Drosophila melanogaster: one gene and its partners. The protein of the gene in region 3 interacts with the protein of the main gene of each other region in a pairwise test. Each region holds a gene or a part of one and is shown on either strand. Other genes may lie near its edges.

The links.
Region 1: the proteins of scyl (region 3) and CG42709 interact in a two-hybrid assay, tested with the Drosophila melanogaster proteins (one large-scale study listed by BioGRID).
Region 2: the proteins of scyl (region 3) and Jon65Aiv interact in a two-hybrid assay, tested with the Drosophila melanogaster proteins (one large-scale study listed by BioGRID).
Region 4: the proteins of scyl (region 3) and CG17739 interact in a two-hybrid assay, tested with the Drosophila melanogaster proteins (one large-scale study listed by BioGRID).

The regions. Positions count from the first base shown.
Region 1 is NT_037436.4:12,788,308-12,796,191, reverse strand, and holds CG42709 (uncharacterized protein), read right to left. Parts: upstream 6,001-7,884; 5' UTR 5,810-6,000; intron 4,975-5,809; exon of another isoform or gene 4,758-4,974; 5' UTR 4,612-4,757; coding exon 4,559-4,611; intron 2,377-4,558; coding exon 2,192-2,376; intron 2,131-2,191; coding exon 1,877-2,130; intron 1,812-1,876; coding exon 1,536-1,811; intron 1,396-1,535; coding exon 1,104-1,395; intron 1,030-1,103; coding exon 868-1,029; intron 735-867; coding exon 580-734; 3' UTR 108-579; downstream 1-107. Other genes in the region: Atg1 (Autophagy-related 1), read left to right, coding at 7,564-7,651, 7,818-7,884.
Region 2 is NT_037436.4:6,036,619-6,042,005, reverse strand, and holds Jon65Aiv (jonah 65Aiv), read right to left. Parts: upstream 2,852-5,387; 5' UTR 2,811-2,851; coding exon 2,554-2,810; intron 2,477-2,553; coding exon 1,918-2,476; 3' UTR 1,871-1,917; downstream 1-1,870. Other genes in the region: CG6462 (uncharacterized protein), read right to left, coding at 3,936-4,895.
Region 3 is NT_037436.4:11,249,507-11,257,974, reverse strand, and holds scyl (scylla), read right to left. Parts: upstream 5,669-8,468; 5' UTR 5,085-5,668; coding exon 5,015-5,084; intron 4,273-5,014; coding exon 3,500-4,272; 3' UTR 1,803-3,499; downstream 1-1,802. UniProt on the Drosophila melanogaster protein: Inhibits cell growth by regulating the Tor pathway upstream of the Tsc1-Tsc2 complex and downstream of Akt1. Acts as a cell death activator during head development.
Region 4 is NT_033778.4:12,303,887-12,312,094, reverse strand, and holds CG17739 (uncharacterized protein), read right to left. Parts: upstream 5,568-8,208; 5' UTR 5,542-5,567; intron 4,817-5,541; 5' UTR 4,808-4,816; coding exon 4,630-4,807; intron 4,537-4,629; coding exon 4,148-4,536; intron 4,095-4,147; coding exon 3,633-4,094; intron 3,577-3,632; coding exon 3,405-3,576; intron 3,341-3,404; coding exon 3,219-3,340; intron 3,155-3,218; coding exon 1,856-3,154; 3' UTR 1,683-1,855; downstream 1-1,682. Other genes in the region: CG30203 (uncharacterized protein), read right to left, coding at 1-127, 175-432, 487-699, 758-1,149, 1,205-1,370; salto, read left to right, coding at 5,997-6,033, 6,097-6,164, 6,224-6,566, 6,624-6,875, 6,970-7,130, 7,194-7,573, 7,638-7,967, 8,038-8,208.

The DNA of each region.
Region 1 (7,884 bases), 1.5 Mb from region 3:
AGGAATGTGATATGAGGAGAGTATATAGGTAAATAATCAAGTCTATCAGATGTAATCTTTTTAATCTTTTGGTTTCATAATTCAAAACAATGGTTTTCTTTTTTTTTACTATGTACAATAATTACTTTTATTGTATTTTGGCAAAAGTCTAAAGCTAACAACTAGTGTATCTATGGGTTTACATTAATTTAAGTGTTGCGATGAAAATTGATTTTGGGATCTAAAACTAGAACAGTGCCAGGAGTTTTGGTGCGGGATCCCATTTACCGAGTCCCCCTAAAGAACAGAACGCTAAGCGACTAGGCGGCTTAACCTACTCCGACTAACAACTAGAATCTAACAACGGATTCGGTTCAGTTGTTGTGCGGGAAACATTGTAGGAGAGACTATATAGTTAGGCTAGATACCGCGTCAAAGTAGTTAACTAACTAGCCATATACATACGTGATATACATATACCTATTTATAATCTATCAAAAATGCCGTCAAAATGGAATTTGTTCTCGAAACTGGAGGAGAAGGATAGGATTCTCTTTTCATCTTCGATCGTTTGGTTTCGGTTTGTTTTGGAAAGTTTTCTTAGGCTAGCTTATTCAGTGGTATCTCCTCAGTGGGATGAACCTGATCCTTTGGCTCTGGTTTGCTAGTGCGGCAGCATTTGGTTTTGATGCCGCCAATATCCTGGCGGCAAATGAGTCCGATGACGATGCCAATCACGGCCAGAACCATGATGCCTAGTGGATTAAATTGAACAAATTAGTCTGGTTTTGTACCGCAAGTAAAAGGTGTATAACTCAAACTATAACTGTTTAGCAAGATGCTTAAAATAGTTGATGTTATAAACCTTAAACCGCAGTTTGTACTCACAGATGAGCAGCGTGTTGATGGCCTCCTGGGAGATCTGCACCTGATTGGTCTGGCTCTCGGCAGGCGGCTCCACGCTGACTCCGCTTGTGCTGGTCTCGGAGCTCAGGATTCCGGCTTTGACCAGCTCCGTGCTGTTGTCCATTTTGCCCCGATTGCGATTGGCTAAATGCGAACAATGGGAGGTGAGCAACAGACACGTTAGCAAGATGATCTACGAGTCATGGGAAATAGCTCACCACTTCTGGGCGGTGCGGGTGTGGCGGTCACTGGCTTTGCAGTGCTGGTGATGCTGGCGACGATGGGCGGATTTGTAATCCCCTTGAGCGGCGGCTCCGTGGGATAGATGAGACTGCCGTTGAAGGGGGTGCCCAGTACGAATTCGTAGCAGCTGATGTCGTAGTTGAGGAAGCTAATCGTGTCGATGGAGGTCAGCAGGCTGCACAGCTCCTCGATGTTCTGTTGTTCCAGTTCCGGCAGCTTCAGTTTAATTATTTTTGTTAGCGGCGAGAAAGCTTTCGTATTGATTTGCTGTCGGAATGGAAAAGCGTGAGCGGGACAACTATATAGACAACTGCGCGATGGCAAACACAGCTGTTTTGGCTTCAGTTGCGCCAACTATCGATAGAGCGATAACTTGTGCTATCGCACTTTTGGCTCGCCATTCTTACCTGTTTAAAATCGTTCTTGTTCAAGCGCAACACCTCCAGGCCACTCATGTTCTGGAACGTCTGTTCCGGCAGTTCCGTCCAGCTGCAGTTGACGCAGCTGAACTCCACCAAGTCGGGCTGGTTCAAGAAGGATCCGTCCAGGCGCTGGGTTATGGTGTTGTTGCTCAAATCGAGTAGCGTTAGTTCCTTGGCCGCCGCAAAGGTGTCGGGATCGATTTTGGTTAGACGGTTGTTGGCCAGCCGCAGGCGCTTCAAACGCTCCGATCCCTGAAAGACCTACAATAGATAATAAGCACATTAGTTACAATTTATCTAATTAGTAGAATTAGCTGGGCACTTACATCCTTGTCTATGCTGCTGATCAGATTGTGATTCAAATTGATTTCCACCGCCCTGGACAGATTGGCAAAATCCTCCGGCCTCAGTTCGGCAATCACATTATGGCTCAGATCGATGATGGCCGCCGTTTTGGGCATGTCCAGGGGTACATGGGTCAAATGGGCATTGGCACACTGAACGAACTTGAAGTCCTCCAGGCAGAGGCAGTTGCGCGGGCAACTGGGCTCCAGGACATGGTTGCTGCGTCGTGGTATATCTGCAAAACGATATTCATTAGCCTTTTCAGTTCGGAATATATAGATTTATGTTATGCTCACTAAATATTGGTCGAAATGTGGTGGTGGTCGATGTGGAGGATGATTGTGGCATCAGTCTATTTTCTGCTGTCTCCGGCGATTCCTCGCCCGTCGCTGTTTCACTGTAGTCATCATCGCCGTAATTAAAGTCCTCGAGGGGATTTGCCTCCTCACTGCCCGCTGGAGCGGCATTTGTGTGGCTGATGCTGTAAGAGTAATCATTAAATTATTTTCCGGTCTCGACTGAATAAACCAACAATATACCAATTTGGTTTTTTCCACGACTTATAAACGAATTCACATTGCTTATGAAGAAAAACGCAGGGCAATTATATGTCAAACGAATGCGCATTTCTGATAGAGCAATTACTGTACGAATTCGTTAAGTGGTTTTACCAAATACCCAAAATTGTCAATATTTGGCTTTAGATTGTCGGTGGGTTCTAAGCGGTACGTGCTTACATCACTCACGTCTTGAAGGCGAACACACCTAGCTAATTTGTCCTGAAAACGCTCTTGACCCATATCGTTATGACCACGCCATAGCCACACAGAAACATTCGTTTTCCCCACTATCATTATACGGCTATTGTTTATGTTTGCTCCGCGAAAGAACATGAATGAATACACTCACATGTGCGAACAAGCCTACATACAAAGTATTTCTCGCTACAGTCGTGGTCACAGCAATAGCCCTTAAATGAATTAAAAGTATTCAATGATACAAGGCTTCTTAATGCAATTCATTAGATTATGCATATATTGTAAAATATATTTTGCCTTTCGTTTTTTAAGAATAAAGTAAAATCAAATAGATATACTTTCAAGCTAAAGAAAATAAAGAAAGCACACATTTCTTTTATTGTAACTCAAGCACTTTTATTGTCTGTAAAGTTGTTTATTTGTTTCTGTTAACTGACCTTACATTTTCGAAACGTACTGTAGCTACTCAGTAAAAAGCACAGATGAAACCAGTTTACTTCATGGCAAAAGAGACAACTCGACCGGTTTTAGTTTACGATTTCGTTTACTCTCACTTTTTTCAGATTTATTTTATTTTTTTGCTGTCATTTGTGACCCCTCTTCATTTTTTTTTTTGTCTGATTCTAAATCGTTCGTTATCCGTGCATTCGGCGACTTCAGTTCTAGTGGGTTGTATTTACTTTTAGAAAAAAAGGTGTAAATTGGCTAGTAGAGTAGTTCAAGTGAGTCTTTTGACTGCCATGTAGAGTTCTCTTCAATTGCGTGACTTTTGAGTGAAGTTTCAATGAATGCTGCTGAGGAGCCTTGTCAATCCTTAAAAGTGCCAAAATGAACAGAATGAACGACTTTATAGAGTCGAGTACTTGAACCGCAAGTGCTGATATGTAGCTATTAATTGGTATATAGTCCTACCGGATAATAAAGATATATTTATCGAACGTTACGAATTGCCTTCAAGCTTCAGCTGCTCGCCGAAGTTAATGGGTATTACGAAAGATCTCTAAACTGTTACTAAGCATGACGACCTAGTCGACGTAATTCCCTTGACTACTTGAATGAAGTGACTAAAATTGGAAGCGTCGCACTTAAAAGCACTCTACTTTGACATTTGATTTCGAGTGGCTGAAAAGGTTTAAAAAGGCCCAAAAATCAATAGAGAAATGGGCTTATGTGCACTGGGAAAATTATACTAGTACTAACATGCAAAGAACGATTAAAGAATTTTATCTTAGGTTTTAAAACTCAGAAGTATTTAAAAAGATTTTTTTTAGGGCAAGAATATAGAATATTTATACATAATCGATAATGTCTAAACCTCGTTTCAGTTGTAAATTAAAAGAAAAATCTGAAAATCGAGACAGTTATAAATTTCTATGTCATTTGCAATATTGCTTGAGATATTGGTTGAGAAATTCAAAACGCTGAGCAAACAATTTGATAAGCAATAACGGTATAAATTATCGGACAACCGGGGAATTGTTATTATTTTTATCAGAACCAGATTATGCGATATGATTAAGTAGAGTGTAAATTCGTGCACCTTATATATATATTAAAGGCGGCAATTAAGAGCGGTTGCCGTGGACTATCAATAAAATGTTGCTGTTTTTTTTTTATAACCCCATGCGTGAGTATTCCATTTGGCATTGATATCTCAGTTGTGGGCGGGTCAAAGTCCCGTTACCCTGGTTCACCTGTCGTTATTTCGTTTTTAGTGAATTAATCACTGCGAATGTTGCTAAACGGAAACTTTGCCCCGTGTCTTCCCTGTTTTTCGTTTTTAGGAAAGGGTCTACTGATTTCTATAAATAAATGGATTACTTATTTTCCAGCCCCATAAGAATAACAAATGTGATTTCTCCACATATCGAGATCTGTAAATATTTATTACAACTTGATTTTTACCTCACGCTTAGCAAAAATATCAGCAGTAATCCAAACTTGTAGTACACGTGCATTATTATGAATTATTTGTTTACTGATATTTGTTTAGCTTTGTTTTCACTGCGTCTTCAAGGCGTCGTGTTGTTTGTATTTGTGTTTATCTCAGGGTTTTCATAGCATTTTCGTCGTTTTTGCCAAACTTGATGTGAAAATTTTCAAGCTGAAAATAGATTTTATTAGGTGTTAGGGGCCTATTTTTGCACCGCTATTCTCGTTTCACTTTGCACTTTTAATATTCATCTGTTTTGCTTTGAAATTACAGCTTCAAAGTTGATTAATGTCCATTTACATTTGCCGGCTTACTTTTGGCAAAAGTAAAATAATTATTTTTCACTCCGCTCGCACAAACTTTTCCACTCGCTGCCGATTCTCGAATGAGCAAAAATTCGCCAACAATTCCCATTCCGTTCGACTGACTGAACAGGTGTGTGTGTGAGAGCTTCGAAGAGCGGCAAATATTATCTCTTTTTCTTTACTCTCACTCTCTCTTCCAAACTCTCTCATGTTAAGTTTAATGTTTAGCCGTGGTTATCTTATCAGTTTTTAATATTTAATTGCTTTGTCTCATACCCTCGCGATTTCTGCTTAGCTTTTAACCAACTTCTGACTTACTAATCGATTATTATCAATAGTAACAATTATGGAATTCATGTTTTCAATGAAAACAGAAAGAGCAAACTCACACTTTAAGCACCGTAAATAAAGGCTAATCGGTTTGGGTAATCCTATCTTAATTAATAAGCATTACATCACATTAGAAATTAAAATTTCAATTGCCATATTTTCAACATAATAACTTAAGCAGCAGATTTGGAAGTACAAAGAAATCTTTAGGACGGCTTGTAATATTAATAAAATTAATTACACACTTGTCTGATTAGAATTAACGCCGATCGTAATGAACTTTGCTTTGGACTTGACTTATAAGTCGGTCGGCCCGCCTTTTGATATGAAAAAAGGGAAGCTTTCACAGTTTATTTACATAATTTGCTGGAAAAATGTGAAACACTTGGCTGGCTGAATCATAGCGATTAAATTGGACGTGATTTGAGTGAAAAGTTTGTTTGAATATTTGTTTCACCGAGTGCTAAGTTAAACTCTTGTTTTAATCCCGTTTCTAGGTCTTTGTGTTGTGATTGCGATGAACAATGTATAGCAGCAGCGTTCTTTTTATCGCCTAGAATATGTTGACCTTTAGTCCACTGCGCTTACTTCGAATGACACGCGTCGTCGTTTTTCTCGATAATATATGTACTAAATTGGGTATTACACTAGAGAGTTTTCTCATCGAATTCTACTGAATGGAGGAGTATCGCGTTTAAATTATACTTAATGATTTGCTAACTTGGCTTTTTGTTGTCGCGCGATAACGTGCGACTCATGCCACCGTCGATTTGAGAATGAGCTGCGAACGGAACCGCAGAAGTTGCGAGCTTAAAAATTGAGTAAGTTGAAATAGAGCGGCTGAAGAGAGTCTTCTCTTAGCTTTCGAATCGCTCTCTTCACACTTGATTCTTCAAAATAATATTTAAAAAAGAAAGAAAAAACAGAGAAGCCCATTAATTACGCAAGTGCATTTTTCAATAAATCGCTGACTCATGGGCACTTGTTGCCGGGAAATGGCATTGCATATAATTTAGAAATTGTTAAAAAGCCCCAGAGGAAGAAAAACCCTCTTCGTTGCGAGTATTCCACCATTTCCTTCAAACTTTTACTTTTATGTTTATGTTTATGTACTTTACATGTCAATGACTTTTTGTTTAATGTTCTTCGCTCTTCGCTTCTCTTCGGCGATTTTAGCGATTTCACAAAAAGCGAGTGCAGTGAAATCTTTTGTCATTTCAAATTGGCTGTTTAATTGCCTAATGTTGCTTTGTTTGCTCATTAAACTGTAAGTGGTCCATATATTTTCTCATGAAAAACAAAAAATCCATAAAAGCGGATAAAAATGTTCGCCGCGCACATTACTTTTGTTGGTTTTTGGTGGTTGTGTTCGTGTGGAATTCTATAGTCATGTCTTCGATTGGCGGCCTCAAGGTCAAAAATCGCAAATCCTTTTAGGCAACTTGCTCAGGCCAAAAATATAACGGCATTTTGGAGAGACAGGGGTTCGTTCTCTTCATTTACATTTTAGCGAGGGCTGCTTACAAAGTTCTCCCATATCGGGATATTCTATTTTCATTTTCAAGTTTTTCAAAAACTTCTTCATGATAACTGATATTCCTTTTTGCTGTTTTCGAATGCTTAGAGGTTTATATTTTATTTGAACATTTTGTTGCCTTTTGTTTAGCATTCACTATCATATACTTTATCAATGGCTTATTATTATAATATTATATTATATTATATATTAAAAGAGAAAATTATTAATTATTCTCAAATGAGTATGGAAAAATCACTGCAGTGAACGGGCATTTTTAAAAAACCTAACTGGTGCTTTACTTCAAAGATTAAAGATTACATGGAAGTGTATTTAAAATTCCAAGTGTAAATTCCCCTAGCATATTCAATATTCTATAGCTTATTTTTACCCCAACTCTTTCTCCGCATCTGCTGACATAAACCGGAACAGAACCTTTGTTGGGCAAACGACAAAAGAAAAGCAGCTGGCTGTCTGGGCTGATCCATAAACATATTTCCCTAATTCCAGTTCTTGATTCAGAAAATTGCCATAAATCATATTCGCTTTGACCTTGCCGTTTTCTATGATTGACTGGGATTTGCACAAAAGTCGAGCGAGCAGCTGGAAGCTAAAAGATGGAAAGACCGACTGAATCAAATCTCGGGACTCTTTCATTTTCGCACTGATTGGACTTAATTCGTTTGCATGGGTTGCATTCTGCTTTTGAGGTCTTTTGGGGTCCCAGAAGATTTATATGCGCGCTGAACTCTTGACTCGTGGGGGTCTCTCTTAATTTAATTTCCCAATCAGCTCCACTCACGCTCTTCATCCTTTCTCTTTACAGTATTGCAATGGCGGCGACTTGGCGGATTATCTGAGTGTCAAGGGGACGCTCAGCGAGGATACCGTTAGACTCTTCCTCGTGCAACTAGGTGAGATTCGAAAATCCTATATAAGGGGTAGCCCTAACTAATAATTGTCAAAGATCAATATAAATTGTAACATTAATATTACTTTAGAACAACGAAATGTATTATAATTAAATATCAGAAGATCGGAAGTTAAAGTATACCATTATTTCCATTTCCCCAATTCTAGCTGGTGCTATGAAAGCACTTTATACCAAAGGAATTGTGCATCGTGATCTCAAGCCACAAAACATTTT
Region 2 (5,387 bases), 5.2 Mb from region 3:
CCTCTACCAACACATTTATTCTCCCTCCTTTAATAGCAGCCAATCTAGATCCTCAAGAACCCTTTGAATTCCGACCATGTGAACTAGCAAAGGTTATCAAAGAGCAACTGAACCCAAGAAAATCGCCTGGCTACGACCTAATAACTCCAAGAATGCTCATTGAACTCCCAAAGTGTGCTATTCTTCACATCTGCCTGTTGTTCAACGCAATCGCCAAGCTTGGATACTTCCCTCAAAAATGGAAAAAGTCGACCATAGTAATGATTCCAAAGCCAGGAAAAGATAAAACGCAGCCATCATCATATAGACCGATAAGCTTACTAACATGTCTTTCAAAGCTGTTTGAAAAAATGCTACTCCTTCGGATTAGCCCTCATCTTAGAATAAACAACACACTTCCAACACATCAATTTGGCTTTAGAGAAAAACATGGAACCATCGAACAGGTCAACCGAATCACGTCAGAAATTCGTACTGCTTTTGAACATCGAGAATACTGCACAGCCATTTTTCTAGACGTCGCGCAGGCATTTGACAGAGTGTGGCTCGATGGACTTTTGTTTAAAATAATCAAGCTGTTGCCCCAAAACACACATAAGCTACTGAAGTCATACCTATATAACAGAGTGTTTGCAATAAGATGCGATACAAGCACTTCACGCGATTGCGCAATCGAAGCTGGAGTGCCGCAAGGCAGTGTACTGGGTCCAATCTTATACACCCTGTATACGGCGGATTTCCCCATAGACTACAATCTAACAACCTCCACGTTCGCTGATGATACCGCGATACTCAGTCGCTCGAAATGCCCAATAAAAGCCACGGCACTCCTATCCCGACACTTAACATCTGTAGAACGATGGCTTGCCGACTGGAGAATTTCAATAAATGTTCAAAAATGCAAGCAGGTTACCTTTACCTTAAACAAACAAACATGCCCACCACTGGTCTTGAATAACATATGCATTCCACAAGCCGACGAGGTAACATATCTGGGAGTTCATCTGGACAGGCGGCTCACTTGGCGCAAACATATAGAAGCCAAATCGAAACATCTTAAACTTAAAGCAAGGAACCTCCACTGGCTCATAAATGCTCGCTCTCCACTTAGTCTGGAGTTCAAAGCTCTTCTATACAACTCCGTCTTAAAACCTATCTGGACTTATGGCTCCGAGCTGTGGGGCAACGCATCCAGAAGTAACATAGACATTATTCAGCGAGCACAGTCAAGAATTCTGAGAATTATCACTGGAGCGCCGTGGTACCTTCGGAACGAAAACATACACAGAGACCTAAAAATCAAATTAGTAATCGAAGTAATAGCTGAGAAAAAAACGAAGTATAACGAAAAGCTGACCACCCATACAAATCCCCTCGCAAGAAAACTAATCCGAGTATGCAGTCAAAGCCGGCTGCACCGCAACGACCTCCCAGCCCAGCAATAAACTTATTAGGGCATTAATGAAAAAAAAAAACTATCACTAAGTGAAAGTTAATTAAGTTAGATTAAGATTTGAACACTTATTGTTAGTCTCTTAACACAAAGGGAAGATTCAATAAATAATAAAAATTAATAAAAAAAAAAAAAAATTGTGTCGCTTGGCAATTTAATGAATTTTAATGAGAACTTACTCGCCGAATGCCAGTAACAGCTTGGTTCTGCATTCATTTTCATTTGTCTGTTTTGTGATGATTTTTGATTTTAGACAAAAGCATATGTACAAGACGATATGGATTGTTACTATAACCGACGACCCTCAAACTGGGAACATAAGTTCTCTTTTGATCTATATTGAGTAAAGAAATTTATAAATGAAGATCTACGTTTCCGAAATTCCCCCTATAGAGCTATAAAACTTTTGAATTTTTTAGAAATGATTTTTATTTTTAAGCGAAATTGTAGTTCCTGACTCCTTCCTAGATGCCAGTGTTAGTCTTGATCCAGTCCAGGTAGCTGGTCACACGAGTGAAGGCAGCGGGGTAGCCCTTCTCGCAACCGGCAGAGGCACCGAATGAGGTCAGACCGATCTGCTCGCTGGACGACTTGAGGACCAGAGGACCGCCGGAGTCACCGTTGCAGGTGGACTTGGCGTCGGTGGTGGCCACGCAGAGGGTTGAGTCGGTCACGACCGAGGTGCCGTAGGTTTGGGCGCACTTGGTGTTGGTGATCACAGTCAGGTCGACATACTGAAGATTGGTAGCCACACCACTGGAGGTGTCACTGGTGCGTCCCCATCCGGAGGCGACAGCGACGTCACCGACGAAGGTCGAGTAGGAGTTGGAGATGCTTGGCAGCTTGACGGCGGAGATCCTGCTGCTGGAGGAGGTGGCGGGGATCTTGATCAGGGAGATGTCGTTGCGCAGGTTAGCGCTGTTCCAGCCGGAGTGGATGATGATGTCGGAGCTGGACACGGTGTGGGTGATCTCGGCGGAGGTGCGCACGGTGGCGCCCAAGTAGACGGTCACGGACTGAACTCTGCGATAAATCAAACATACAATTGGTTAGGACATTGGTTCCAAGATATTTTCGGCATTCCTTCAAGGGACACTCACCCATCGGTACAGTGAGCAGCGGTCAGGACCCAGGTGCTGCCGATCAGAGAACCACCGCACCAGGCGCTGGACAGAGCACTCAGCTTCAGGGAAAGTCCCACCTGGTAGGGGAACTGGCCGACGGCGGCGTTGCTTCCTCCGGTGATGCGACCTCCAATGTCGCCAACGACGGGCATCTCGCGGCTGCGATGGCGCAGCTCCGGCTCGGGGAAAGCGGAGGCGGCCACAGCCAGGGCAAGGATGATCAGGAACTTCATCTTGGGAATTGTTGCTTGTTCAGTTAAGGGAACTCAACTGTTTGGCCAAGGACCAGCTGGGGTCTTTTATACTGGCCAAGTCGCGTCTGCGATTGGGTTGCAATTCAGAAATAGAGCTGTCCCGATTAGATAGGACCACTAAAGTCGGTTCGAACTACCTTATCTGTTGAGATTTTGTGCCGAAGATATGAATGAATGAACTTCAGCCACACGGTCGCCAAAATTACTTTCCCAATCCAAGAGTATTAATCCCGATACGGATCTAATCAGGGCTATGGGCTTCGAGTGGATTTCCAGATCGAGCCGCTGCGATACCAAAGGCCTAGCATGGGGTTGCTAATTAATTTGATTAGTTTTACACATACGCGATATATACATAACTATATATTGCGATACAAAATTGGCAAAGGTTTGCTTTGCTCTTCAGCGTATCTTATAATTCCCATGGTAGTCGAGTGCTATCTTATCTCCTGTCTATAGGGTGAGAAGCCGTAAGCCCACAGTTTAGTTGGGTTTGTTTACCTTCGATAAAGGTCAAGGAGTAGGACGTGAGTTGGTCAAGACTGCTTAAACTTCATAGGAAATCATACCGCCGTCTAACAATTGCGTATCTGGACTCTCTCTTTGATTACAAACACGCAAATTTCAGTTGTTTTCGCAACCGCAGCCTTCTTTATCAGCGAAAGCCGCGTGATTTTATGACGCGTTCAACCGACCACATCACTGCGGTTAATAGCCAATTCAGATGGCCAATTGAAGGCGATTAGCGGGAGGAGGCGCTGCGGTCTGTACCCAATATGCCCTCACCAAAAACGGACACTCAACCCAATGATTTCAATTTCAGTGGCGATTCATCAGCAATTTCCATGGCAATGTAATTTTTCTTTTGTGCCCTTATTGAGCTCCCCAAATTGACTTGCTCTTCTGCAATGCCGAAATGTTTATTGTTATTTATCGGTAACAATTTTCATTCAAGAGAAAACAACCACACATAAAATGGACCATTTGCACCTTCCTTTCTCGACAGAAGAACCTGTTTTGGTTTCATTGCTCAAATTGGTTTTATTGTCTGGGCCGACTATATTGTTTAGCAATTAATGGGCTGCAATTAGGCGTTAATTGCATTTAGTTGGTCATTGCCGTTTGCTGTCGGATCCATGGCAAATATGCGGTTATCCTGGTGTAGACAGTGGGACCCCCCACCTCGCATCCTTCGGCACTGCCGAACGAGGTGACCCCAATCAGGTAGCTAACATTGCGCCAGTGGTACACAACGGGGCCACCGGAGTCGCCATTGCAGGCACCACGTCCATTGCTTCCATCGGTGCACAGGTGACGTCGCTGGCTAACCAATCCTGGCAGGAAATAGCAGATGCAGCGTTCCTGATCGATCACCTCCGCATCTAAGTACTGGAGGAGTCGCGTCCGTTTGTCGGTTGAATCTCCCAAGTAACCCCAGCCAGATAGGGTCACCACTTTGCCTACCAGAAAGTTTTGATGCATGAACTCCCCAGCCAACTCAATGGGTTGCACTTGTTCTGAAGTTCTGACTTTTCTTGGCAGTCGTATTAAAGCCAAGTCACTATATCCTCCAAATCCCAAGTAATCAGGATAAATAATGAAATCTCTATGCGTGACTTGTAACTCCTCCACGGAGTCTTCTACATCGGCAAATACGGTGGCGCCCGTGTATATCTTTGCAGCTATGGCATCGGTCAGACAATGGGCTGCAGTCAAAACAAATTGAAGAGTGATAAGGGAACCACCGCACTTGACCAGATCTGCGCCACTCAGCTGAATCACCAGACCCACTTGATAGGGAAACATGCCGCGCGTGGCCAATTCTCCTCCAGCTATTCGAGTTCTCACAGCAGCGGTTTGATTACCTTCCATCTCGAATTTTTCGCAGCGAAGTCGAAAGTTTTCGTAGCCAAGCTGCCAACGTCTTTCCATGATTGCATCGTCATCGTCCGGTGTCTCCTCTTTGGGGTGCTCAAAAGTATCTAGCCAAGGCTCACTTGATTTAACTAGTGTGGATGATAGAAGTAGCAGGAAGAAAGCACTTGTAGCCTGGTATTGCGCCATTTTATCACTACGGAATTGAAAAAATAATATGGGGAATACCTGTTATTGCATTCTATACTATATCTTTTAAATGTAATATTTCCTTTTTCTGACCAAATTCATAGAATACCCCCCGCCCCCCCCCCCCCCTTAAATATGTGAATAGGAAACTCTATTCATTATGTTGAATGAAATTTATGAATGAATTGCCTTTTTATTTACATATATTATATATATAGCTGATGTTCCTCGTAATGAGTTAGTCCAAGTTCAGGTCTGAGTGGGCTCTTCACGTGAAGTACTGGGCTTGTTGTTGTATTTGCTGGTGTTTTTATAGTCAGCGATTGTGGCATCGACATTGCGTCATCGACTTGGATGCGGCACGTGTCCGCATCGTTTGTTAATTGAATTTGCTTGGGCCGAGTGCAAATTATACGGAGACGGGAGGAGCAGCAGATGTTTGGCATTCAATTCCTCCAGCTACCGTGTAATTGCCGCACGTTTTGGCGATTA
Region 3 (8,468 bases):
TTCGCATCTAATTGGAACTGATTGTAGTTTCGCCCCATCAAACCCCACAATAACCGCACCGCGTACATTTCGACCAACACGTACTACTCTATACTATACACCATATATGTATATATATATATATATATATATATGTCTGGGTTCCCATACGATCTATGTACATATGCCGGAGTGTTTATTCAAATATTGTTGTCAACGGTTCGCGCGTACGTACACTTGCACCCTTTTCATTTCGACTTTCTATTCTGGGAAATGACCGAATATCGCAATTGGTCCAAAAACAAAAAAGAAATTGTCAAAATGCCTGGCGGTTTTGCCCCCTGGACCGCTTTCCTTTTCGTTTTGGTAATGACTTGAGGTGGATGCTAGATGTTCGACATAACAAGAAGAATGACAGCATTTTAAATGACTTTCTACACTCGATGTTCTAGCGAAATATGGCACACGTCTTGCCGCAATTACAGTCCGTATGCGAATTAAAGGAAAAATCACTTTCATTGAGGTAGGCGAATTGTGAAATATCTTTGAAATACACATTGATATAGTCCTTGTCAGTGTGGTTTTTGTTTTTGTTGGGAATATTAAGTGGTGTACACTTGTACAACAATCACAGTTTAGTTTCTTTATAGAAAATATATTAAATGATAGATAGATAGATATAGGTAGATATGATAGATATATCATTAAAAATATGATTTATGATGCATTATATAGGATATGATATACAATCAGTTATATTATTATTTAATTAAAATCCAATTACCAATTAAAATCCAATTAAGTTACATATACTGGTTAAAGTTCAGGCTTGAGCCTTTATCTTTAATAAAATAACGCTTAATATATATTAAAAGCTATATCTATATATATGTACTTAAAACTTTAGCACGGACTTCTATAAATGAGCTTGAGATAAAAAAAACCTCTGGCATATTTTGACCTTTAAAGATTACTTTTATGGCAAATTATTGTCAAGCCCATGCCTTTGTGATTTATTCATATTCCTGCACTTCTGGTTGGGGGTAACATCAGCCTGTTTGGCCAATTGCAGCGTTGCCGCTTTTCAGCCAAGTTCATAGTACCCATCGCAGCCCAACAACAAGTTGGTAAGCCTAGCCCAAACTGGTTGCCCAATTGTCTTCCACTGCTGATCGCGAGGCAGCGATTGTTGCCGTTGCCGTTTGTGTAACTACTGCAGTGGTGCACTCAAAAAAACCGGATGATACCACCAATTATTTTCAATGTTAATAGTTTTTATATAGCAAAGCTTCAAGTATGCATAGATCTATGTAGATTGAACTATCCACCAAAATAATTTTAACTTCAAGATGAAATCGGGTTGTAACTGCAATTATCAGTTATGTGCTCAATAAATTTATTCAGTTTAAAAAATAATAAAAAATAAGTTATAATATAATTGATGCATTTCAATTTGTTACTAAAACATCAATTTCATGTTCATATGAATTCAATGGAAATTGGCTTTTGTTGAACGTATTTCGCTTTCCTGTGGTATTGATTTCTTTCAGTGTATAACTTAACCGCATTGCCACTTAGAGAGCAGAGTTTCTCGCAGTGCAGTTGCCATGGCCGTGGCAGTAACGGGTTGTGCGGCAAGCGGCGTTGCCGCTTTTCAGTGGTTCGGTGGCTGCTGAAAGAAAGTTGCACCCGCAACAAGCTGAACCGCCCCTGCCCGCCCCACACCCTCTCTCCACCCCCTTGGCTCCATTGGAGCGCCCCTGGGATCCAGCAGTGCTGGCAGAAAAGAAAGCCGTTGTTTTAATTTTTTCCACAATTATTTTCCGCTAGCGCAGGAAAAATTATATGCTTTTATTTTTGTAATTTTTTTTTGCCTTTGTTTTTCGCTCTGTATGTGTGGTATGGATTTTTTTTCACATTTTTTGTTTTGTTTTGTTTTGGTTACAAATTTCTCACAATTATTTTGTTGTTTTACGCAATAAAAAAAACTTAACATTAAATACAATATATTTTTGTTTTTTCTTTTTTGTTTAATAATAAAAAATTAATACATGTATTTTTTTCGTATTTTGCTTGTTTATTTCTTTCTCTCTCTCTCTCTTTTTGTAATAAATAGGTTTTTCGCTTTGATAGATACTTTTTGCTGGTAATAGATACTTTCGTGTGTGTTTGTATGTTGGTGTGGATGTGTGAATGGTGTGTTAATGTATTTGTGAGAACATTAAGTTTTCCTCATTACGTTAATTGTAATTTTTACAAATTATATCGCATTGCATTTAATTAAATTTTCACATTTTATTTGACGATTTGTTGATTTTATTTTTGCAGCTACATTTAAGTTTTTGTTTTCATATCGCATTGGGAGTTTTTACACAGACAAAAAAATTTTACAAATTTTTTACGCTTTCACATTTACTGAGATATTCATTGCCTTAAATTTTATGCTTGATTTTTTTTTTAAGTTTAATTTATTCTCGTTTTTATTTTTTTGTTGTGGATTTTCTTTGTGTTTTTATTTATTTTTTTTATTTTGTGTAGTACGCGCTATACATTTAATAATATATAAAAATTTGTTAAAATCCTAAAATTTGTTGGTTTTAATTAATATTAATTAATAATTTAAAAAATTTTTATTGCAGCAAGCTGCGTCTAACTAAAATTGGAGCGTGTGATCATCTACCTCTTTCACAGTTCGAGGCCCTCATCTCTCTCAGTTTTAAAGTTAAATTTTAAATTTACCAAGATCAAGTTTGTTTGTTTTGTTGGTTTCTTTGTTTATTACTATATAGCATACAATTTTTAAAAAAAAATCTGTTCTTTTGTATTGTGGTTTTTGTTGTGTATGGGGTGTTTGCGTGTTTGTGTGTGTGTGTGTTTGTATTTTCTTGTGTTGTGTGTTATGTGTAATTTTATCAACGTCTTTTGCCGGACTTTGGTGCATCCGGCAAAAAACTCTTAGCATCTTAAACAGTATCACATATTCATGAGTTGTCGACCGGCGAGCCCCAAAGCGAATGCCCCAGAAATATGATTCTGGGGATTGATTCGTGGGGCTGTCGTCTTTGAATTTCATGTTGGTTTTTTTCTTTACTTTTCTTCCGCTCTTGTCGCCTTGTTTTGTTTTTCTTGCTTTTGCGTTTTTGAAAAAGGAGAAACAACTTAAAACTCTAGTTATTTGTTATAGCACTACGCATCTAAGTAAAATGGTGGTGAGAGTCACAATTACAAAAATCGGGCCTTACGGTCCCATATATAGTATTAGTATGAGAGTGTGGTTGGCGTAACCTAATGTGTATGTGTGTGTGTGTGTGTGTGTTTGTGTGTATGTATGTGTGTATTAAAGGTGTTTGTGTGTGTGTGTGTGTGGTGTAGGTGGGGTGGCTTCGAATACTTGCTTCGTTGTTGCACTTCAAACTGCAACAAACTACTGCTCTCGATCATCACAGGGGTGGTGTTTTTTTTGTTTCGCGCAGACACATATACGAACATATGCATATCTGACAGATCAAGCTGATCACCATTAGTTGGTGGGCGTGGCGATGGCCGCACTGGGTCTATGGGCGTGGCTGCCGAAGCTATAGCTCCTGCGTGCACCCAAACCATCAGCGGAATATAGCTTATTCTTGGTGATCGTATACTCCGGACTGATGGTGATCGTGCGGGCCAAACTCTTCATGAACTGCGGCAACAGCGACGTCCAGCCGCGATGATCCTGCCTGAGGGTCAGATACACTTCGAATGTGGACACCGTATCCGAATCGACCTTGATCGAGGCAATGCGACGCGAATTCTTCGGCTCATCCTCGAACTCAATGTAGATGGTGCAGCCGCGTATGCCGCGGGGCTCCTTCTCCGACACGCGGATTATTTCCCGGGCCACGCTCGGCGTGAGATCACAGGGTAGCGACACTTCCGTACAGGTCAAATGACGCGACTTGGCCGCCCTCAGTTCGTCGAGCAATCGCAGGGACAGCTCCTCGACAGCCTTCTTATCGTAGTTGCTCAGTGCATAGTCAGCGCTACCGCCCTCCTCCTCGTCAGCAGCGTAGTAGTAGTAGTTGCTATTGCTATTATAGCTGCCGCTGGGCTTTGTCTTCTTGCTCTGACTTTGGCCAACATTGTTGTTGCTGCTGCCCGCCGGCTGCTTGTGCTTAATACTGCTGGATGTGGATGTGGTTGTGGATGTGGCGGTAGCATTGCTGCCATTGCTGCTGCCCCCGGTTGTCGTCTTGGCCTTCTTGGACATCAGGTCCAGAGTGTATGCCGACGGCGGTGGCAGTCTGCTGGTCCAATCTGGAATGATTGAAAAGGAGGAAAAACGATTGATTAGTAAAAGGTTTTGGTAATAAAACGAGGTAGAATACTATTAAGTTTCATAGAGTGTAAAAATGTAGTGACGAATGTTACTAGTCAATCTTAAAACACCTCTTAAATTCTATTGCTACATCTGGCAAAAATTAGGAATAACGCAACGGAAGCCAAAAACAAACAACTAGGCAATGAGGAAACAGCCGCTTGGCAACAGCGAACGAGAGTTCAAAGCGCAGCACGCAAACGTGAAGCAGAGGCAAAAGCAACGTTAAAAAAGACGGAGGGCCAGAGAGACGAAAAGAAAACGAAAAATCATTTTTTTATTGCTGCTGGGAGTTTTTTGTTGTTGCTGCAATTTGCGTACGTGACGAACAATTTAACATGATTTTTTATGACATTTTTCCTTTTTGTAATTGCAAATTGATTTTTTATGCATTTTTTTGTGTAAATGTAAATTACAAAGTTAATTGCTGATGAAATTTCAAGGAGCTTTGTACAGCAGTTGTTGTTCATCTTTTTTTTTATTTAAATTATACACAAGTTCAAGAACAGTTTAAGTATTCAAAAAACATTTAAAAATATGTACGCTTTATACACAAATTTGATAAAAGTAGACTGCATTTTGGGAAACACATGTTTTATTTTAAGTTTTAAAATCTTTCTGGAACTTTCCCGATTCTTCCCTATAGACACAAATTTCTCTCCGAATTTTCGGTACACTTACCTTTATTTTTGTTTGATCCCTGCAGGCTACCGTAGATGATTTGTTCCCGAGCAATAACATCCATTTTCATCGGTTTTTCTGTGTTTTGTTGGCTTGGAAAGTCGAATCGAATCGAAAGTCGTTCGTTCGCTCGCTCGCTCGCAATTTTCCGACGGCTTTTGTCGCCTTCTTTGTATATCACTTTTACAATTTAATTAAGCTTATTTAATTTATCACAATTTGCTGTTTGTTTTCTTGCTGATTGCTTAAATTCTTCCTCTTTACGTTCTGGTTGCAGTTTAAATTAACATTTGTTGTTGTTGTTGTTGGTTGGTTGGTTGGTTGGTTGGTTGTTGTTTTGTAGTGGAAATCACAGCACTTATGTTGTTTAAACTTTTATTTGTTTTGTTGTATCACTTAAATGGCGTTGGTCCGTTGCATTTGTTTGATGGCAAATTTAAATGTTTAGTTTAGTTTAAAAATATAACGTCAGTAGCATAGAATTCTTCGTGAAACAGTGTTGAATGATTGAACTTTTTGGATTTGTAAAATTTTAGCAGTGGAAAAAGTCTGGCTATGCACGTTTTTGCTGCTGCTGCTTCATTTGATTTTCTGGCTGCGAGAGTCTGTTTTCTTGTGTACTGTGTTCAGTGTTTTTTTCGAAGCTACTATGAATTTCTCGCCGGTGCGCCCGCCTTTTATACTCATCGACGCTACAGCTGTTTCACTCATCTCTGCGTCCGCCGTCTCGCTCATGCGCGCTCATGCCGGCGAAAGAGCACGAGAGCGCAAGAGCGCAAGAGCGCGAGAGAGAGGGATATAACAAACGGCGTACGTGACGCGAAAAGAGGAAAAGAAAACCCCGAATTTGAGAGAAAACCACGAAAAGGATGAAAATTGGAAATGTTCTCCCGCAAGGAAACGAATAAAGCAACAACAACAACAACAACTACAAATGCAATGGAACGAAGTGAATTGAAAAAGAGGCAAGAACAAAAATCCACCCCGGCATTACTGGCAGGCTAAAAAAAAAATTTTCCACTCCGAAAACGAAAACTCAGTTGCAAGTTGCAACATGCTGCAAATAGCGGCTGTTGCCAGGCCGCAAAAAAAGATACGAAACGATACGAGAGATACCAGCTACAAGATACGAATGTATCTTCAGAATTTCCTTTTCGCCTTTTCCACGGAAGCGGGCGAATGCAAATTTTACAGCGCTCGCCGCGCTTCGGCAACCAAAAAAGTAAATCTCGAGAGAAAAACCCATCAAGTCGCAGGAAAATCCCTATGAGGAATATTAAATCAAAGTTTTTGTGCAAACGTTACTTCCATTAAATATTTAATAAAAGCGCTGCCTGTGTGCATTTCCTTTTAGTTTTCATGTTTGTTTGTAACGCTCGAAGTTAACATTCTGATAAAATAAAATAAAATATTCTGTGCCCGTTTTTATGGTTATTCGTAAAAATAAATTTCGGTTCAATTTCATAAAATTCTTCTATTTTTATACCATAATGACTTTCAAAAAATGTAATCAATTAAATTATTCTAATCTGGTAGTAAATTGGTTCCATAAAACAGCAAATTTATTTGAAAAACGAGCTGGAATAGGTGTGAAATATCAGGCCACTATTATTTTATTATGCTTTTATTTTGCTTTTTTTATAGAATGACTACTTTGAAAATTTACATTTTAAATTTTGAGGCCGGTTGTTGTTTACTAAAAAAAAACTAAATAATAAAATATATACTTTTCTTACACATATGGCGAAACTGGAGCACATATAAAATAAAATGCAATAAATCCTTTGTTAACAAATGTTTAATTTCACAAAAACATATATTTCATGATTGCTGTCTTTGTTGCTTATCTAATCTGTGCGTATTTTATTGATAAAGCTGAATGTGAAACATTTCATTACATATCATTACATTTGGTAATGTTACGTTAAATGCATTTCTTTCATATTATCATTACGAATTATACATTCCACTTTGTTCCAAATATGCAAATTTTCCGTATATAAAATAATTTTCCAGGAACTTTCATTTTGCCACAAGTAACGTGTTAAATCTATAAACATCTTCTTTCGATCCAGTGACGAATTTCATCATAATTTCAATTTTATGCTCGCTCTTTGATATGAAACTCGCACATCCGTTTATTTCGAGGAGCTGTTCTTATGAATTCATGGAGAATTTCATCAGCAAATGAAAATGTGAGATGTGGCATAATTTCATATTCATATCATGATCCATGGCTGTGTGTCCTTTCCTTTCAATTGAATGCATTTTCCTGCCATCTTCATCTTGATGGTGATTTTATTTTTTTCTTCGCTTTTAGCCGGCATTGTTGTTTGCTGACCAAAGCTGAAAATGCTGCACGTAGATTGAAAACGAAAGATTGAAATGTATCTCATGAATGCCCTGCCCACCCGAAAAAAAAATAAAGGAACTCAAGAAGAAAAGCTGAAATCCAACTTGTCTTCTGGTGATGCTGGCTCAAATAAATAAAATCAAATTTCTTTCAGATTGAAATGAAATTCCATGAGGCACGCATATGTGCTTGTATCTGTGTATCTTTGGGATATCTTTCGTGCCACATTAGCTTTATGTAGATGTGTTTTGTCAGATAATAAATGAATTGAAACGAGAACTTCTTTTGTTTGACTTTTGGCCCCTGACTTTGTCACATTGCGAAGTGAACCGAACTGAAACTGAAATTCATTGATAAACCTGAGCACTCTTTGAAATTTCGCAATCTTTGAAATGCGACCCCCAGCCGCCGCCGCCTCCCCCACAAGCTGATTAGAAACAGGCAATCCACAAACTGCCAAAACGAGCCTCTCAAAAAATAAACAACAAAGAACTGTGATTCAGGTCGGCCAACAGACGACTTTCATGGGTTAATGATCAGCGAAATTTATGGCCAACACCCAGATATATACGGGTATAAATTGGCTTATAGGGCATATGCTTGCTTATTTTCGCCAATAGATAGCTGGTGACGCCTTTTGTTTAGTCATTTCTATAATTTCAACAACAAAAAAAAAGATGTAGAAAATATAGTTAGTAATTTAGAAAATATAAACCTCTACTAATTAGGTTTATTTAATTCACTTTATAGTATCGCCCACTTTCAATTGAGTTAAGTATCTTATTTCGTTTACTCAATTGCAATTTGTTTTCCCCATCCCATTATTCATAAACAGTACACAAATGACTTTAATGTAGAAAATTTAAATTTGAACAATTTCGCAAGGTAAATCAATCAACTGTGAGATTGAAATCCACTTTCCCAACTGTTTCCTTTGTGACTTTGCGATACATGGCCAGCCGTAGCAGCACATATGTATAGAGAACTTTCCCTCGGTGTGTTCTCCGCTTTTCCGGGAAAGCAATTTTCACAAAGTTTACGCTTTGGCTTTGGCTTTCGCTCTTGTGGCCCCCTCGAAGGCAATTTGTAAATTTAAATTAG
Region 4 (8,208 bases), on a different chromosome or scaffold from region 3:
AGTAGAGTGTGGCCAAGGGTTTCATTGGGGCACCGGTGTCATCGTAAAATGGCGAACGATGGTCGCTGGGATACGAAGATGTTATACGGCGCACCACATCCGGTGGCACTTGTGGCTCATCTGAGGACTTTGAAGGAGATAAATATAATGCATAGTGGGCTATTTTTCGCCTACCATATACGATGGTCCCGAATCGGTGCCGATGTCCCAGGGATACAAATTCAAGACCTTTCGCTCCAGCCACGTACAATTGCTCAAGCAAAGCTCCAATCCAGCCACGCCCAGTATCCAATCGGGTGAAGGATCAATCTTGGCTGCTAGCGATATCTGATGGTGTACTGGATCCAGACGAGCATTGGCCAGGGTTGTGCCAAATGTTTTCGGACGATAGGGAATTCCAGGAGCCTTTATTATAGTTCTCACCTCGCCATTCTGTTAGAAACACCATGATGAAGTGGATTTAATGCGATAAAATTGATTACCTACCTGAGTATTCTCCCTGATCTCATTCTCAAGGGTACGTGTAGCTCCGTGCTCGGCCAACTCCTTCATGCCCTTGCTCGCTCTTCCTCCGTAGGCCCAGTAGCGATAGCTGTGGCTATGTGAAGCACCAATCACCTCGCCCAAGCGTGTGCGCCAGTCCTCAGAGGGAAAGTCCTTCCAATGGGTGTTCCTTGCCCACTTTCGCTCCAGAACAATCTATTAGATACGATTATTTTAAACACAATATTAGGAAGAGTTGAGAAGATATTCCAACCTCATATTTGGCTTCATCACAGGCACAGCAAGTTTCCAAGGGTGGTGTTAAGCTGTTCAGTTCGTCGATTTCCTCGGGACAAATCCGCTTGGTCAGGAAGCCATCGTCCAGAAACCACACATCACGATGTTGAACCACACCAGCCTTAATCAGTACACAACCGCTGTCCGGATTACGTGGTGCTATCCAGGATACCGCGATATAGATCTTGGCATTCGTATTTGTGTTCTCCACCATGTTCTCACAACTGGTACTGAATCGGGTGTCTCCGACTCCCAGCAGTTCAAAGTGACCGGTCATATCCTGACCACCGAAGGCAGCCGACGGATCCTCAGCCTCGACCACCAAGGTGAAGCTCACGAATTTCATGTTTATTGGACAGGATAACGAAACTTATGATGATAATAATGTTGAAGTAAAAGCTTCAGGACAACTCGAGACTCTCACCATTGTACTGATGTTCTGGCACATAGGTCTCTGGATTGCCATCGATAAGGATCTTAAAGTTATCATCCACAGGCGATCGAGGGCCACTGGCACCTTGGGGTATCCGATTGCAGACTCCTCTGACTTCGGAAGACAGCAGAATGAGGAGCACGATATGGCGAAGCATCTCTTCTCAATCTTAGCGATCCGTACTGGGTCGAGGCTCAACGGCGACTGACCAAAACTGATGGCTAGCCATCTCCATTAATTGATGAGCATTTCCAATTTATCAATTATCCCTTAAATGGCGCTCTCGGCGTTGACAGCTTATGGCATCTTGATTGAGTTGTCTTCAATTAGGAATGGTTTGTTTTTATGGCAAGCTTTTCAATTGATGAATTGTGCCCGGGTTCTTTGAACTTGCAACCCGGCGAAAAATCACTCGTAAACTGGCCACTGTTTGCTTAATGGAACTGGGTCAAGGTTAAACTCAATCGGAATTGGAATTACCACGCGAACACAATTCTGTTTTATTGTTTTTAATACATATTTAATCTGTTGCGAGAAGAGCTAGTGTAGGTAGTCTGGAATTTTTCATATATTTAACGATATCCATTGGTAATGATTACATAGTTGGATTAGAACTAATACTTGTAGCAGTTAATGGTATGTTCACCACCGCTCTGGATCATCGTTGCTGGTCAGCTGGCAAGGCATCATCACGCACTTTTCCATGCGGACGCGATCCTTGCACTTGTAGCTCAGATCGGTGTTCATTAGGGTTCGGGTTCGTTGGCGAACGGCATTATCGCCACACGTGGCGGTGCATGGTGTCCAGGCGGACCACTCCGAGTAGCGACACTCGTCCTGCGGTTCCGGTTGCGGAGCTCTTACCACATGCCTTCGCTCTCCAAATCCCCGTCCACTGATTGAGTACATGTCATCGCACCGCTGGTAGCAGCGATCCAAACGTACCAGGTGCTTGGGACATGGCTTGCCTCCATACTTCGGAGTACGGAGCACCCGACGCGTTCGCAATTGGAAGCCATCGCCGCAGGAGGCGTTGCAACTGTGGGAAACCCAGTCAGAGACGAGACAATCAATGGCTGGAATGCCATCGTGCTGCAGTTCCTGTTTGTGGCGCGGCAGGCGACATGTCTCCTCGCACTCCTCCTTCGACTTGAATTTGTTGCGATTTGTATCACAACGATCCGACCAATAGATGGCACACTGGTCACTCACATGGTCGTAGTACCAGAAGTTGGCCACATCGTTATCCCGACACGGACTGTCGGTCAGCTCGTCGTAGCAGAAGCCGGGAACAATGGTATCGCAGCTAGGATTGGTGCAGTTCACCTCCTCGTGCAGCTTGATGTGTCGACAGGGATCCTGGCCGTCATCATTGGGATCCGTTACTCCGTACACCTGGTTGTTATTCCACACCTTGCGAATACGTTGCCGCTTTCCATGTCCACCGCATGGCCCCATGCACGGCGAGAAATCCGACCATGGAGTGACCCCGCAAACCGGTGGTATGTAATCCTCCCGATGCTGACTGTAACTCTCGAAGTTGCGGAATATGGAGCGTTTCTCAGCGGATCCACCTCCGTCGCCACCGGCCTGTTCCTCCTCCGGTTCCCCAGCACCACCTTCGTTCTCGATGTCCCCACCGCATTCCATTGCCTCGCAAATCTTGGTCTCATGCAGACGCGCCCTGCTTGCCTTCTGGCACTTCTTCTTGGCCTTCTTGTTTAGATAGTGTCGGGATCGGGTCATTTCGCCGGTTCCACAAGTCACGGTGCACGAAGACCACTCCGACCAGTCAGACAGACCGCACTGGGGATCGTCGCTGCTACCTGGTGATGGCGCCACCTCCGGCTCGCCGCCTTCAGCTGTCTCCTCATTGAAGCCAGCGCACTTGTGTCCCACGCAGTTCTTCTCCTCACGCAGGGCATTGTTGCAACGATGACGCTAAGGTAGGTGTCAAAATGTATATATAGTATGGGATCCAAATTATATATGTCGTCTTAATTACCGAAGCCAATGCAGGGTTCTTGAACTCTCGGATTCTGTATTGCTTGCCGGGACCGCACTTTGTGGTGCATTCATCCCATCTGGACCACGAGTTTGTGGCGCACTCCGGCGGTACCTGTTCCGCTACAGGATTAAAGTATATAGTATGTATATTCACAACATCAATATATGGTTGCATTTAACTTACAATCGGAGGACTCGCAGTTCTTTTCGTAGAGTCGTCTTCGATTGATGTGCAGGGTGGCCAATGGCTTCATCTGGGCACCAGTGGGATCATAAAAGGGCGAACGGGGATCGTTGGGGAAATTTGATTTGATGCGGCGCACAACATCTGGAGGCACCTGTGGCTGGTCAGCGGACTGAAAAGTATTCGTGATTGACTCTACTGAAGACTAAATCATGGAAATCGTCTTACCATATATGATGGACCACTATCGGTGCCCGCATCCCAGGGATATAGGTTGTGCACCTTGTTCTCCACCCAGGAACAGTTGGGCAGACATAGCTCGAGGCCGGATACACCAACGATCCAGTCTGGAGAGGGATCCACCATTGATACGAGGGAGATCAAATGGTGGTTGGAGTCGACGCGAAAAACGGCAAATGTTTTGCCCGTAACATTCGGATAGGCAATGCCCCTTGCCTTGATGATCGTGCGAATGTGTTCGCTCTGATCCTTCAGCTCACTCTCCAAGGTCCTTGTGGAGCCATGCTCCGCCACCTCACGCAGCCCCTCGCTGGCCAGCTCTCCATACTGCCAGAATCTGTAGTCCAGTGTGTGCGAGGCACCAATGATATCGCTGAATCTGGTGCGCCAGCTATTCGCTGGAAAGTCCTTGGGATGTGTGTGACGCGACCACTTGCCTTCGAAGGTAAGCTGAAGTAAGGAGGTGTTAATACCATTTCAATAATGAGTTAAAAGAGTCCCACCTCATATTTGGCCTCGTCACAGGCACAGCACGGATCCACGATGCTGGGCTGGGTGTCAATGTCGTCCACCTCCTCCTCGCACATACGCTTGGTAAGGAAGCCATCATCCATGAACCACACATCTCGATGCTGCATCACCGTAGCCCTCAGCAGGATGCAGCCCTGTCCCGGACTCGATGGAGCCACCCAGAACACATCCACGCGTGTCTTCACGTTCGTGTTGGTATTCTCGACAAGATTTGGGCAGCGCGGACTGAAACGGGTCTCGGCGAGATCGGCGATCTCCCAGGTGCCCAGGGCATTGGCGTCACCATCGCCGTCACCACTCTCCAAATCCAGGGCCAGCATAAAGCTAATGAAGGACAAGCCAGAAAATGCACTGAGGCTAACTGAAAACGAGCAGCGAAAGATTAGAGAATTGAAAGAAAAATCTAGAAATTTGTAAATTTAATTTAATTTAATGCTTAATTTAATGCACTCACCATTATACCTTTGACCGGGCACATAACTCTGCGTATTTCCGTTTACGGACAGCACATAGTTATCATCCACCGGTGACTTGGCTGCTGTGACTCCCGGTGGGACCCTAATGCAGCCCTCGATCCGGGGAATAACACCCACTAATGCGAGAAGAATAGTGAAACCTTCCAGAGCTTTCATTTCAAAGAGCTGCAATGCAAAATTGAGTGGGAATACAAATTTACAATCATTTGATGCAGCCACGTGGTTGTGGGGGAAAAAACTATTTCTGGCCAGCACTTAATTGTCTTAATTATCCGCATTGGTATCGAATGTCAATGGCAACCAATGGAGCCTACTTCCAGTTTCAAACTGAACTTGAATTCGTAGAAATAGCCTTCAATTGAATGACTTTGCGTGATGTCACACATAGTGCATATTGCTATTTTCGCAGACACTTTCCATTTCCTTTGAGATCCAAATTATGCCAGCTCAATTGCCATGCGGAACTTGAACTAGGCGGGTTGTTGGTTGTTTACCCCTTGAAAATCGGATCGCATTGCGTATATACAATATATAGTCTGTACTATATAGACCGTCTACGTCACTGATTAAATTCAATTGAAAAACGCGCCGACTGTCTACAGCGAATTCGAATACAAGGGGGTGACAAACGTCCATTTCCCATGGATCTAAATCATTAAAGTCACTTTTAGGGCTTCTTCACCTCAGTACTGCACTTATATTGTAGCACCCACTTTCACTAGCACATCATGTATGTTAATCCAGTTGATTAAGTTATTTTGAGAAAATAAACTAATAGCAAGGTGGTACAGATTGTTTTTTCATACTCTTGTTACTCAGTATTGATGGATCGTAAATGAAACAATCTCGAAATATATGCTTTTAGAGGGAAATCCGAACTAAGAACTTACTCGGTGGACGCACGAACAGCAACTGAATGCAAATTTCGCCGAGTCGATTATTGGATGGACGATGTGCATCATTCGGGACCGACGAATGGATTACATGGAGAACCTCAGAGAGGGAAAAACTGCTCTCTACTTTTCCCTCCCATTTAGCTTAGTTTCCGCTTCTTTTGCAGATTCGCATTTGTTGATAGAAACCATTAGTTTTCATACGCTCATTCTAAACAAACAGACCCCAAAAACACCGGGTACATTGGAACTGAACAAGTGTGCTCTGAGTTTGAATTCATGTTACTTCCACGAACCACCTCGTTTGGATTGGTCAGAAAGCATTTTTGTACCATTTACACTAGACGTAGTTCAACTGGAAATATTTAGAAACAAATTTTCTATACTATTTTTTCCTCATTTTGAACACAAAAATCGTTTACAAAAAAGCGTTGATTTCCGAAACTTTAGATATGAATTCTTCCAGCGTGACGCCGCGTTCAGTTCGTAGTAAGTACATGTACCTTGAACGCTATACGAATGTGTGCTTCAAATGCTCGTTATCCTTGTTAGGTAACAAAGCATTCTTGCTGAGGACAGCTGGAAAGGCGGAAAAGCAAGCCTCAGACAAAGCTACATGGGTGAGTGAGATAGAAGAAAAGGGTTTAGTTTTTTCAAATGCTTTACATCCCCGTCCCAGTCTCGCACTTCTTCTTGTGGTGGCGTCTTCTCTACTCCTCCCACCCAGAATGGCGACGGAAGCCCAAACAAAGGTAGGCTCAGTCACATTCCAAATAGGCGTGGAGCGAGTCGGTCGTCTATCCATTCGCGAAAAACTTCTCTGGAACGGGTTACTTCTTCGACGAAAGCGCGCCCGTGTGTCAGTACGTATTCGTTGCCCAATCGACGGGTCGAGCCCGAGCATAAAGTAGTTGAGCCCGATCGGAAAACTGATATCGATGAGTTGAATCCCCCCAAGCGGAACGTGGTTCCCATAAAGACGCATGCCCAGTCAGCACAATTGGTTAAGTCAACGACATGCGGTGGGTATCGCGAATATTTGAAACGTGGTCCAATTCTCTGATTATTGCCGTCCACAGAACCTTATCAAAATGTAAAGAAGCCTGAAAAGATGTCGCATCGCCGTGTCCTGGAGATGAACCGGATGCGGGTCTTTGATACGCAGAAAAAAAAACTGGAGAACCTGCAGTCCGAGTTTATGCACAAGATCCGGTTAATGGGTTCGGAGCTCCGGAATCAAGGGGTCTTCAAGTTTGTGGGTCTGACTGTAAACGATGAATGCAAGCTTGTGGTCCACCATGATGATCTACTTCGATTGCCCAAGAGTATTCGTAAGTTCGTTTTGATTTTACGTCTTCGATTGAATGAATTGTTATCCTTGAATTATCCTTCTTTCGCTTACAATTGCATACTTTTATTTTCTAGCCGCCGAAAGTATGAATGACTTGAAAACCAGGTGTCGTGCGATTGTAGATCAGGGGGTTTTGTTAATCTACGACCATATACCAAGAATTCAGAGGGCTAAAAATGATCTCGAGGCTAGTGAAAAGCGTGAGGAAACTCAAAAAAAGTTGTCTAACCTAGTGGTATGTTTTTGTGCAACCGCTATGATGCACTAGCAATGTGAAACTATTTTATTGTGTCTCCAGGAAGAAAAAATGAATTTAATCGTCGAGGAGATCGAACAGTTGTGCGGTGCATGCTCCAAACAAGAGTCACCCAACAAAAGTCTCTATCGCGAGATGTCCGAGTTGCGTTCCCAGAAACAGGCCATGGAGGTTCGTTATTTTGACGCCCAGAAGGAGCACACTGAACAGATGAACCAGTTGCGGATCGAGCTCGATGCCAAGCTGAAACAGGAGCTGGCCAGTCGAGATCAGATCATTGTAGAGCTGAGAAAGAGCCTGCGGCGAAGCGAGGATATGCTCAGTGAGCAGTCCATTCGATTGGCCGAGAACAATTCCAAGCTATTGACCGAGGATTCCACCATCGAGGTACTGCGCTCCGAGGTAGCCAAGCTCAAGACTGTGTAAGTTAACTGGTCATCTCGGCAGATGATGGTTCTTACAGATCTTTCCTTATATCGTATCTAGAAAAGAGCAAATGGTTAAGCGTCTGGAAGAGGCGGACAAAGGTCTGGAGCGGGCTCGAAATTCCGTCGATAAGAACTTGAAACACATCGATTACCTGGAGGGCGAACTGAAGGAGGCCCGTGAGCTCATTGTCCATCTGGAACAGCGTCCAGATGCCATGGACGCGGGAGTTAAAGAAAAGGATTTGATCATTGCCGATTTGAAACTGCAGCTGCAAAGTCTCGAGCAGCATAAGAAGGTCATGAACAAACAGGTGGCCAATACAATAAAGCAGCATGCCGACTTTGAAGAGCTGGGTGGAAACTATAAGGAAGCTCTACAGCAGATAAGGTAAACTGCTTGGTTAACAGTATCATAGATTATGTATATTGATTAACATATCTCTTGCTTGGATAACCAGCGATCTAAGGGAGACCCTAAGTGTTACCAATGCCAAATTGGAGATGCAATCCAAGCTCGAAGTGCAGCTGCGCAAGGAAGTGTCCAAGATGCGCGAGCAAATGGTTATCGATCAGAAGTTGCTGAACGCTCGCAGCGAATTGATCGCAACACTGCAGAAGAATGAGGAGGA